Nothobranchius furzeri: one gene and its partners. The protein of the gene in region 1 purifies or fractionates together with the protein of each later gene. This does not show direct contact. Links are inferred from orthologs where the notes say so. Each region holds a gene or a part of one and is shown in the gene's direction. Other genes may lie near its edges.

Region 1 (4,083 bases):
CCTGAGCTACACACCGAACTGTCGAAGCTCGCTGGTCTTGCCCATCCAGATCTACATTCACATAGTTATGCATGACAAACTGATACCAGATGACTAACATTTAGCTAATTTTCATGCATTAACTTTCTCAGAGGCTGTGTTGAAAACATGAAGCAAACTATAAATTAGGTAAATTCCTTTTCCTCATTTGTCAGAGTAAATCTTGTGTTTAAACAGGTATGATGGGCGCTGGTGCAAATGGGATGGCAGGAAGTCCTGGACAAGGAAATTTTATGCAACAGGTGTTTTTTTTGTTTTTTTTTTTGTTAATACAGAGCAGTTGAAACCATGTTGTAAATAAAAGCTAGACTGACTGAAATGAACAGTGCGGGTTTACCACAATTGCTTTATTTTATTTTAGCCTGGGGTGTTTAGTCCAGGACAGCACGCTCCTCCACCATATCCCGGACAGGGCCAGCCATCTCATCTGCAGCCCACCACTCCCATGTTTGTTGGACCACCACCAAAGACCCAGAGGGTGCTCCACTCAGAAGCCTACCTGAAGTACATTGAGGGCTTAAATTCAGAATCAAGCACTGTCAGCAAGTGGGACCAAATGCTAAAAGGTGATGCTTTTCCCCTCACTCCCAAATCAGTTTGCTTCTCTGTGCGTTGATGCAAATTCAACATTTTTGTTGTTGTTGTTTACTGATAACTTTTATCCATAACAGCTCAAAGACGAGATGCTCACTTTACCAAAGAGCAGGAGAGTCGCCTTCCAGCACACTGGTTGAAGAGCAAAGGAGCTCACACAACAATGGTGGATGCGTTGTGGCGTTTACGGGACTTGATGCTGAGAGACTCACTGAATATTTGTCAGGCTTACAACCTGTAACCTCCCAAACAGAACCACTAACCTCAGTAACTACTCTTATCCTCAGTTTGTGGAGTTTTCAAATGGTAGAAAGCAATATTTTATAGTGGGTCACAACCATTTTATATTTATTAGCTAAAAAAGTGAACTTGATAGTGATTTGTGTGCATTTTTATACCGTCTTAAATCATAGTTCTGCTAAAACCTGTGATTTTATTTTATTGTCTTATTGATGCAACCAGAATAAAAAGCTGCAAACCTCATGTTTGTTTCATTTTTTATGTAGCTTCTTGCCTTTTTGGATTTTATTTTTGAAGTACTTCCGGTTTGATGACGCCATTTCCGTGAGACGATCAAGACCGTGCCATTCTCTTTAGTGTTTGCCGTGTCCTCCCAATGTTCGCCTCCTTGCCTCCCGCATTTTGAATACAAATTAACAGACACTGACTCTTGAAGCTGAACGTAAAACCAAACAAACCCCATTAAGCCATATTTTATTATGGATTAACAAAAAAAAAACGAAGAAAAGTAGCGAAGAGGTGAGGCTTGCTTTGTGCACTGTCGGCTTTAGCTAGCTGCTAAGCTAATTTGTCAACACCGGCTGCTTTCTGGTTCGTTGGCCAAATAACCTGAAACATGTCCTTGACCAGACTAAAAAAATATTGTAAGACTTTACTGATGTTTAGTTGTAAGCTAAGTGTTTTTGGTAAGTTTTTTACCTAACGATTCTAAAAGTGATATCAGGTTGCTACACCGGTGCCTTTGCGGTGAGCTGACCGGTTTGCTAACATGCTCCTTCGGAGTAGCCTTTATTAACTCCTCGCGGCCTTATTTAGAAATGGATCATGTTCTGACAATAATGTATGTATATATGTTTTAAATATTTGTAAAGACAAGAGTTATGGGCTGTATAATGCATTGACATGTTTTTTGCAAGTGTTTTTGGTCCATTCTCTGCATCGGCTAACCTGCCAGTAATCTTGTTTTTAACATAAATGTAGCATTAAGATAACCTTTTAGCAACAAAAAGCATGCTATTAAGTTCCGCAGTTTGTTGCGTGCGACCGGTGGTCCATGGGAAATGAGAGGTGGTTCAGTTAGAGGCTTTAGAGGCTCATCCTTTCCAGCCAAACTGATGTGATGGAGAAACGTGAATATCAGAACAAGCAGACGCTGCTGAAATCTGATTTTCAATCTTTGTCCTTTGTTTTGCAATGGATCAAGATCCAATCATGAAAAATAACAAAACGGATGAAAAATGTTTACAGTTCATCACCCAGGCAGGATGGGTGTCAAGTTAAAGCATGAAAAACATGCCATCAGTGCAATAATCCAGTATTACTGAATAACATGTTTGCTGCTGCGTAAAGGCTTTTTGCACATTATTTAGTCCGGTAAAGATTAAATTTAATGTATGTATTTTTATATCTGCCTTTTCTTATATCATGTTTATTTTATTGTTTGCGCCACTTGAGTGCCACCCAGTTTCAAGTATTCACATGCAATGCCACTAAAACCTTCTGATTTCTAAACAGGGGGTCTCCCTCCTGAAGCTAGGGAGGAGCCCCTTGAGCTCTGGTTCTTGGCCTGGGCTTTGGGTCTGATTGTGGCCTGGCTCATGCACCATGGTCAGATACTGGGGGTGCTGCCGTCCCTTCTGGAGCCAAGAAGGAGACCCATGAGCTCTGGTTCTCAGCTTGGGCTGTAGGTCTGAGTATGGCCCGGCTCATGCAACATGGTTGGAGTTAAACAAATATTATATCACAATGACAAAGGAACATTTTTGACATAACATTTATAAGTTATCTTTGAAGAGGTTCTTTAAATGAATAAACAGTTTATTTAAAAAAATTAAACAGCCATGGGCACCAAGTAAACATTTGGTGTATCTCATTGTCATGTGTCAGCCTCAACGTATCTCTTCAGTAAGTGAAAAGAAATAAATGATAAAGAAAAATGTGGACACCTGCTAGAAAGAGTGCTACTTTTGCAATATATGCATTTTTAATTACATAAATTGATGTACTGTTGAGAGATTTGCAATAACTACAGGCACTGATTTAATGATATTAATGGTCAAATTAGCTACATTTAATCCAGTGGCGGTTTTTAGAACCAACATAAATATATAAACCTCACAATGAAGCTAATAACTGCAATAAATTGCAATCATCTCTCTTGTAACAAAACCATGCTAATTTTCTAACCAAGAATCGTTTGAAAATGCAAATTATTTGGTAAAATACATTTGTTATAATATCATATTTCTTTCTCAGACTCTTCTCCAGGCCAAGCTTTTATCCTGACCTCTTCAGTCCTCGGTCACTCCCACACTGTAAATCACTAATCTTGACTTCAACCTTCAACAATACAAGAGCAATGAGGATGTCTCAGCTTCAGTTTCAGTGTCCTGTTAGTTCCATGCCTGCTGCTTCTGCCCCCCTTCAGCTGGGACAGCCGCAGCCTGGCTACAGCATCCCCTGTGCTACGGGCGCCCTACCATCGGAGAGTGCCAGTCAGCCCATCAGGAGCTCCGCCCTCCCTGCGGGCTCTGCCACTCCTTATAATACCACCACAGGTACTTTCTTTTTGAAATAGTTTGGGTTTCTTTCCTTCACCATCTAGATCTGGGTTGACTCCAGAAGCTGTGGCTGTCTGCATCTTTCTTTAATGGTGTTTATTATTTTGTTTCAGTAAACATGGCAAACCCTAAAGAGAAGACCCCCATGTGCTTGGTGAATGAGTTAGCTCGTTTCAACAAGCTCCAACCTGAATATAAGCTGCTTTCTGAGCAAGGGCCAGCACACTCCAAGGTACAGCGGGTGTGAAGTCTCACACGTCCAACCCGTTGTCCTGTCGGGTTTACAGTAATGATAGAAGGTCTGTTTCAGATTTTCTCAGTGAGGTTGACGCTGGGAGATCAACACTGGGAGGCGGAGGGGACCAGTATCAAGAAAGCCCAGCATTCCGCTGCTGCTTCTGCTCTTACTGAGACAACTCTTCCCAAACCCACCATGAGGATGCCGCGTAACACAGGCAGGAACCCACATGGGCTTCTCCCGCTGGTTCTGTTTTCTCATTATAATTAACATTTTACGATCGGAGAGTTGATGTGTTACATTTTGTATTTTCTTGTGTCCCCTGCAGCTGATGGCATCACACACACCATGGAGCTGAATGCACTTTGCATAAAGCTCGGTAAAAAACCCATCTATAAACCCATCGACCCG
Region 2 (3,629 bases), on another chromosome or scaffold:
TTTGTACATGTTTACTCAGCGTTTCTAAAAGACATAGATCTGTCTCCCATGAGCCCCGGTGGTAACTGAGCTCTGTGTCTGCAGATGTCTGGAGACATGGCCACAGACCACGTTAACGGGAACACAGAGGAGCCCACGGACACATCAGCAGTGGCCCACACGGAACATTTCCCGGCCTTGTTGGAAGCTGGTTTAGCTCAGAAGGTAGCGGAGAAGCTAGATGAGCTGTTTGCAGAAGGTACGGTCTGCAGTTACCTGACAACAGTGTTTCCTACCTGTATGGTGGTGTTGGTTGGTGTGAGAGCAGAACATCATTAAGTGCATCTAATAATAGTTACTGCATTTCCTGCCACAGGTCTGGTGGCTCACAGTGACCTGGATGAACGAGCCCTCGAAGCTTTAAAGGAGTTTAATGAAGATGGAGCTCTGCAGGTGCTGGTCCAGTTTAAGGAGAGTGATCTGTCACACGTACAGGTAAGCATCCTCACCTGGAGGCTTTCACACTGACTTTTTTCATTTGAAAAGGAATTGTTGTTTTCCAGAACAAAAGTGCCTTTCTTTGTGGGGTGATGAAGACCTACAGGCAGAGAGAGAAACAAGGGACTAAAGTCTCACCTTCCACCAAAGGACCAGACGAGGCAAAGATAAAAGAGCTGCTAGAAAGAACCAGCTACACCCTGGACGTAACGACAGGCCAGAGGAAGTACGGAGGACCTCCACCCGAGTCTGTGTTCTCCGGTCCCCAGCCAACCATCGGGACTGAGGTGAGATGTCTGCGGGTCTGAAGATCAAACCTGAGAGGGAAAAATCATTTATGTTTCAGCTTATGAAGGTCAAACACACAGCCAGTAAATGCTATCACCAATGAAACACGGACAGCCTAACGGACACGGTTGGACTCCCACCCCCAGATATTTGTTGGAAAGATTCCTCGTGACCTGTTTGAAGATGAGCTGGTTCCTCTCTTTGAGAAGGCGGGGCCTATCTGGGACCTCAGGTTAATGATGGACCCCCTGAGCAGCCTGAACAGGGGCTACGCCTTCATCACCTTCTGTGCTAAAGAAGGAGCCCAGGAGGCTGTGAAGCTGGTCAGTTAAACAGAAGTAGCCCAGGTGTTGAAGGTAAACTCATCATCTCTAAGCTCTGTGTTGTGTTGTGTAGTGTAACAACTACGAGATCCGCCCTGGGAAGCACATCGGCGTTTGCATCTCTGTTGCCAACAACAGGCTGTTTGTTGGCTCCATCCCCAAGAACAAAAACAAGGAGCAGATCGTGGAAGAGTTCTCTAAAGTCACAGGTAGGCGCTGCCGTAGAAACGCATCTGACCACAAGCCCTCTGTGATCGCTGTTTTCTGTCTGAGCAGAAGGTGTCAGTGATGTCATACTGTACCATCAACCCGATGACAAGAAGAAGAACCGAGGTTTCTGCTTCCTGGAGTACGAAGACCACAAAACCGCTGCTCAGGCCCGCCGCCGACTAATGAGCGGTAAGGTCAAGGTCTGGGGCAACCTGGTGACGGTCGAGTGGGCGGATCCCATCGAGGACCCCGACCCAGATGTCATGGCCAAGGTGAGCCGAGACTTACCGAGCCCGAAGAGGCTCGAGGGGAAGTCAGGAACTAATAACGTATATTTCAGTTAAAGTAGCGCGGCGGGACAGGCGGCCCGAAGCTGAGCTGCTGCTGCTTCCTGTTGCAGGTGAAGGTCTTATTTGTCAGGAATCTCGCCAACGGCGTTACGGAGGAGCTCCTGGAGACGACCTTCAGCCAGTTTGGAAATTTAGAGCGAGTGAAGAAACTAAAAGACTACGCCTTTATTCACTTTGCAGAGCGGGACGGAGCAGCAAAGGTACGGCAGAACTCCAACACCGTACAGCCGCTTCAGACGGCGTCCTAAACCCGGTTTGTGTTCGTCAGGCCCTTCAAGACCTGAACGGGAAGGAGCTGGAAGGGGAGCCCATCGAGATTGTTTTTGCCAAACCGCCAGATCTGAAAAGACAAGAGCGTAAAGCCCAGAGACAAGCCGCTAGGACACAGATGTAAGTCCCTCCCCTTAAGTGGCAGGATGACATCATCACTATTTACCCACAGTGAGCCTAAAGAAACAAACAGCTTTATAATAGTGGTTTACCTGGAGAATCAGAGCTTTGATGTGTGTTTTTTTTCTATCCACCAGGTTTAATGACTATTACCACTTCCCCCCTCCTGCCCACGTATCTCCTTCCAGCAGGGGGCGGGGCCGAGGGGCCAATCGCGGCGGCTACTCCTACGCTCCTGACTACTACAGTTACGAGGACTACTATGACTACTACAGCTACGACTATCACAACTATCGCAGCGGCTACGATGACCCGTACTATGGCTACGATGACTACCAGGGCAGAGGGCGGAGCGGCAGCCGAGGCCTCCGGGGCGGAGCCTCGCCAGCTAGAGGACGTGGCGGCGTGGGGCCGCCCAGGGGCAGGGCCAACTTCTCCCAGCGCGGTGGGCCAGGACCAGGCCGAGGCGGGCGCAGAGCACGAGGAGGCATGCAGCCGAGAGGGCGAGGAGGGGTACGTGGTGCTCGGGGTGGTCGCGGTGGAAATGTAGGAGGAAAGCGCAAAGCTGACGGGTACAACCAGCCCGATTCCAAACGGCGCCAGACCAATAATCAGAACTGGGGCTCGCAACCCATTGTTCAGCAGCCGCTCCATGGTGGCGATCATTCTGGTAACTATGGTTACAAATCTGACAACCAGGAGTTTTATCAGGATTCTTTTGGGCAACAGTGGAAGTAGAGCCGACGGGCTTCGATTAAATAAGCTCTTTGTTTTTGTCTTTTTAGAGACTTGATCTGATTGGCCCTCAGTCCTCACAGTTGCCTGCATTTTTTTCTGTTTTCCTCCAAATTGGTAACATGAGCAGATCTTTATTTGAATAATACACTTGGACTCCCAACATAGCCACACTCCCACGTGTTACTCCTGCCTGGTTTGTACGATTTTCACAGCAAACTTTTAAACCCTTTTTTTAGACGACCAATGTGCTGGAGCGGCATTCTGGCTCCGGCTCTGTGTTTTTAGACATTCTGGTTTCCATGTTTCAGTAGCTAACAGCAACAACGCTAATGTCTCCTGCACATGTGTTTAAACCAATGAACTTACGATTTGTATTGTCTAAGTACTGCGTGTGTTGTCCTGGAGCAGAAAGGAAACGGGGCCGCGGCGCTCCTGGTTCTGGCTTCACATTTTGGCTTGTACTCTGCTGTTTGTCTGCATTAATAAACATACACGCACACGTGTACAAAACTTCAAATTGTGTTTCAAATTCATGTTTCGGCAAATTCTCTTTTCAAATTTCCTTCAAATTTAAGGCTCCTTGTGGAAGGAAAAGGACCAAAGGTTTGCCAAAGTTGGCCACGTGCTACAGTGTCACCATGCATGAGTCACCTACTCCTGAGTCGGCATCTCCAGTGCTCTGTATGTGTAGAGTGGCATACTCCATCCATCCAAAAACATTAACGTCTGACAAATTGGTGTCGTAAATTCAGCGTGAAGGCAGCATCAAGAGTAAGCCCCGCCCACGTTCCTTACCGACCCATGGGAGAAAAAGCACAATTTGAGTCCCAAAGTGAAGCTTTTCTTGTCCCAG
Region 3 (2,782 bases), on another chromosome or scaffold:
GAGAGAGAAATAGAAGATAGAAGTTCTTGTTCAACTTTATTCTTTTGTTTCATGATGATAAACTGATGTTGAATTCAGCTTAAAGAGAAACTGGGAGGAAGCTTTGGTTCATTTTAAGTTACAGGAGGTCTGTCTCCTATCTGCTCCTCCAGAGACAGCATGGACATGAAGGTTACATGGTGAGGGTCCCACAGGACAGGTTAGTGGAAAGGTTTGTAGTTAGCTGGTTAGTGAAGGAGATCCATCAGCTGGGTAATTTAATCCTAATCCAGGCCACAGCCTTCTGCTGGTGTTATCAGAAAGAATAAAACACACATCTTAAATATTATTGGAAGTGTAGAATTAGTTTTATGTTTTATTGTTTTCTGCATCAAACAGAACTTGATTCATTCTCCAACATTTCAGAAACGAACCACTGGGTTCAAATAAAATAATAAACTAAGTCAAACATTTCATTTGGTGTTATTTCTGACAGCCTTCAACTGTGGCATACATATTTGACTCTAGAGCTGCTCAGAGACATTAAACATTCATATATGGACCCATTATGTATTTTATTATTACATTATGTGTCCTGTAGGTTTTCAGTACCTTTTTTAGATTTTGTGAGTTTTTGCAAAGCGTGTTTTTCTCAGCCTGATGCGTGGTGTTGAACGAGGAAACAGATTGTTTTACTTTATTAAATCTTCTTAAATGTTTAAAATGTTTTGTCCTAACCTGTTGTGGATGGAGAGATTTTGAGGAATGGCAAGTTGTGTCAATTACGTTTTTGATAAAAATAAAAAAAAAGCAATTATCTGACATCTTCTATTTATCGATGAAAACAAATCAATATGAAATAATCGTGATGCATCGGGATATCGAATTGAATCGTTGACCCAATAATCATAATCAAATCGGGAGACAAGTGAAGATTCACACCTCTAGTCAACACCAGCTTTAGTGTCGGTGTTCATATAAATGCTGTTCCTTTCTGGTCTGTCCAATATAATTCCAGACTGTGTGTTAGTATCTGGACCCATTAGGTTATCAGTGTTTTACATTGCTGCAGTCATCTCCCGAGGCTATATATTTGTTAGGAACGTTGAACCTTATTTTTATATGGTTGCGGTTTGAGTTGTCCTTGTTCTCAACAAGGTCTGCTCTGTCCTGCAGGCGGCCGGAATCCACAAGAAGACAGCCCGCACTATTGGCATCTCTGTTGACTCTCGTCGTCGCAACAGATCCACAGAGTCTCTTCAGGCTAATGTGCAGCGTCTGAAGGAGTACCGCTCCAAACTCATCCTGTTCCCCAGAAAGGCATCTGCACCCAAGAAGGGTGACAGCTCAGTAAGTTTGGCTTTTACCTCTTCACACATGGACTTGTTGGAAAATGCACAATATAGCAGCTGGAAAGGTAATTCACATCATGGCCCCTCTGTTTTAATTGCGTGAGATGGATGTAAAAATGTTCATCATCCTTTATGTAAACCAATGAGCACAAATAGCCATCTGATATAGTTATCAGTGTGGTTTTAGATCAGTCTGTATGCTCATCTGTGTGATTTACACAAGTGCAGATGTTGGCCATATGTTCTGATGAACTTTTTTTACTAGGGTGTTTTATTTATCTCTTAAAAAAAATTTCCTGATCTTGTTTCAGGAGGAGGAACTGAAGATGGCCACCCAGCTCTCTGGTCCCATCATGCCCATCAAAACTGTAAGTTCATGATCTTTAAGTTTCTGTAAAATTTACATTAAATATGTTGATTTCATACTTTAAATTTCATGCATTCATTATGTGTGCATGAATCTTTGGTACCACAGCAGTCAGATGATGACACATCTCCGGAATCTCTGCACTATGTTGATGAAAAATGTGAACCCTTTTTTCTGATGACTGTTAAAAAAACAAGGCTTGTTAATCAGAGTTGAAGCTTATTTCTGTCTAATGAGTTCTTTTCTTTGTTTTCAGGTACACAAGAAAGAGAAGGCCCGTGTTATCTCCGAGGATGAGAAGAACTTCAAGGCATTCGCCAGTCTGCGTATGGCCCGGGCCAATGCCCGTCTTTTTGGCATTCGTGCTAAGCGAGCCAAAGAGGCAGCTGAGCAGGACGTGGAGAAGAAGAAGTGAAAATGATCATTATGGAACTTTGCAAATAAAGTCTTTAAAAAAGAGCAAAGTGAGATTGATGTATTTTTGAACAAACTTCAGTTGTAATTGTGGAAAAAGTAGAAAAGAGTAATTGCAATGAGGTTCACAGGAACAAAGTTAATCAGGAATTAAATCTTTCATGTGGGCCTAAAGTAGAAGTGGTACCTCTTTTGATAATTTGTCATACAGCCAGGATGCAATTTGGTTGGGGGAACTTTCCTCTGCTTTTGATGTCCCTCCCTACTTTTATTCGTGGGTGGGATAAGTTTTTTTTTTCTTTTTGTAGGAAGATCGTTTATGACGTCCAGTACTGTGACTTTTCCAGGGTATGATACTACTGGTAGTTTTTCTGGTCATTAGTTGAAATCACCCAGATTTCTAAAACATCTGCCCGTCTCCCAAGTAAATACCAGCCATCCACAGTCTCCCAGTGTGCTGTCCTGCCCATCCCGAATAGGCTGAGTTTGTGCATTAGGAAGCTGTAACCGTGCAGCTGCATCAGGGTCACACACAAACACTCCACACCAGCAGATTGTCTCAAGTCTGTTCAGTCTTGGATGCTCCTCGATCCACAGGTCCAACTTGAAAAATCCATGTTGAAAAAAACGTCTCCTGTCTGCTACCTGTACTGGTCCTAAAAAAATTAGC

The links. Proteins that work in one complex are often made in the same cells at the same time.
Region 2: the proteins of stau1 (region 1) and heterogeneous nuclear ribonucleoprotein Q-like purify together in Homo sapiens (affinity purification with mass spectrometry; 3 studies listed by BioGRID, with this or other methods). This does not show direct contact. The link is inferred for Nothobranchius furzeri from reciprocal best matches to the Homo sapiens genes STAU1 and SYNCRIP.
Region 3: the proteins of stau1 (region 1) and rpl13 purify together in Homo sapiens (affinity purification with mass spectrometry; 3 studies listed by BioGRID and IntAct, with this or other methods). This does not show direct contact. The link is inferred for Nothobranchius furzeri from reciprocal best matches to the Homo sapiens genes STAU1 and RPL13.

What each region holds. Positions count from the first base shown.
Region 1 is NC_091743.1:66,055,656-66,059,738, reverse strand, and holds the start of stau1 (double-stranded RNA-binding protein Staufen homolog 1), read left to right. Parts: upstream 1-1,201; 5' UTR 1,202-1,392; intron 1,393-3,129; 5' UTR 3,130-3,232; coding exon 3,233-3,431; intron 3,432-3,547; coding exon 3,548-3,666; intron 3,667-3,744; coding exon 3,745-3,889; intron 3,890-4,000; coding exon 4,001-4,083. Other genes in the region: pbrm1l (polybromo 1, like), read left to right, coding at 217-281, 401-605, 711-874. UniProt on the Homo sapiens protein: Binds double-stranded RNA (regardless of the sequence) and tubulin.
Region 2 is NC_091742.1:17,028,153-17,031,781, reverse strand, and holds the end of heterogeneous nuclear ribonucleoprotein Q-like, read left to right. Parts: intron 1-84; coding exon 85-238; intron 239-355; coding exon 356-474; intron 475-542; coding exon 543-764; intron 765-911; coding exon 912-1,088; intron 1,089-1,161; coding exon 1,162-1,297; intron 1,298-1,364; coding exon 1,365-1,570; intron 1,571-1,698; coding exon 1,699-1,848; intron 1,849-1,916; coding exon 1,917-2,038; intron 2,039-2,175; coding exon 2,176-2,776; 3' UTR 2,777-2,823; coding exon of another isoform or gene 2,824-2,831; 3' UTR 2,832-3,009; downstream 3,010-3,629. UniProt on the Homo sapiens protein: Heterogenous nuclear ribonucleoprotein (hnRNP) implicated in mRNA processing mechanisms. Component of the CRD-mediated complex that promotes MYC mRNA stability.
Region 3 is NC_091749.1:58,214,361-58,217,142, forward strand, and holds the end of rpl13 (large ribosomal subunit protein eL13), read left to right. Parts: intron 1-1,155; coding exon 1,156-1,329; intron 1,330-1,642; coding exon 1,643-1,699; intron 1,700-1,814; exon of another isoform or gene 1,815-1,902; intron 1,903-1,954; coding exon 1,955-2,113; 3' UTR 2,114-2,162; downstream 2,163-2,782. UniProt on the Homo sapiens protein: Component of the ribosome, a large ribonucleoprotein complex responsible for the synthesis of proteins in the cell.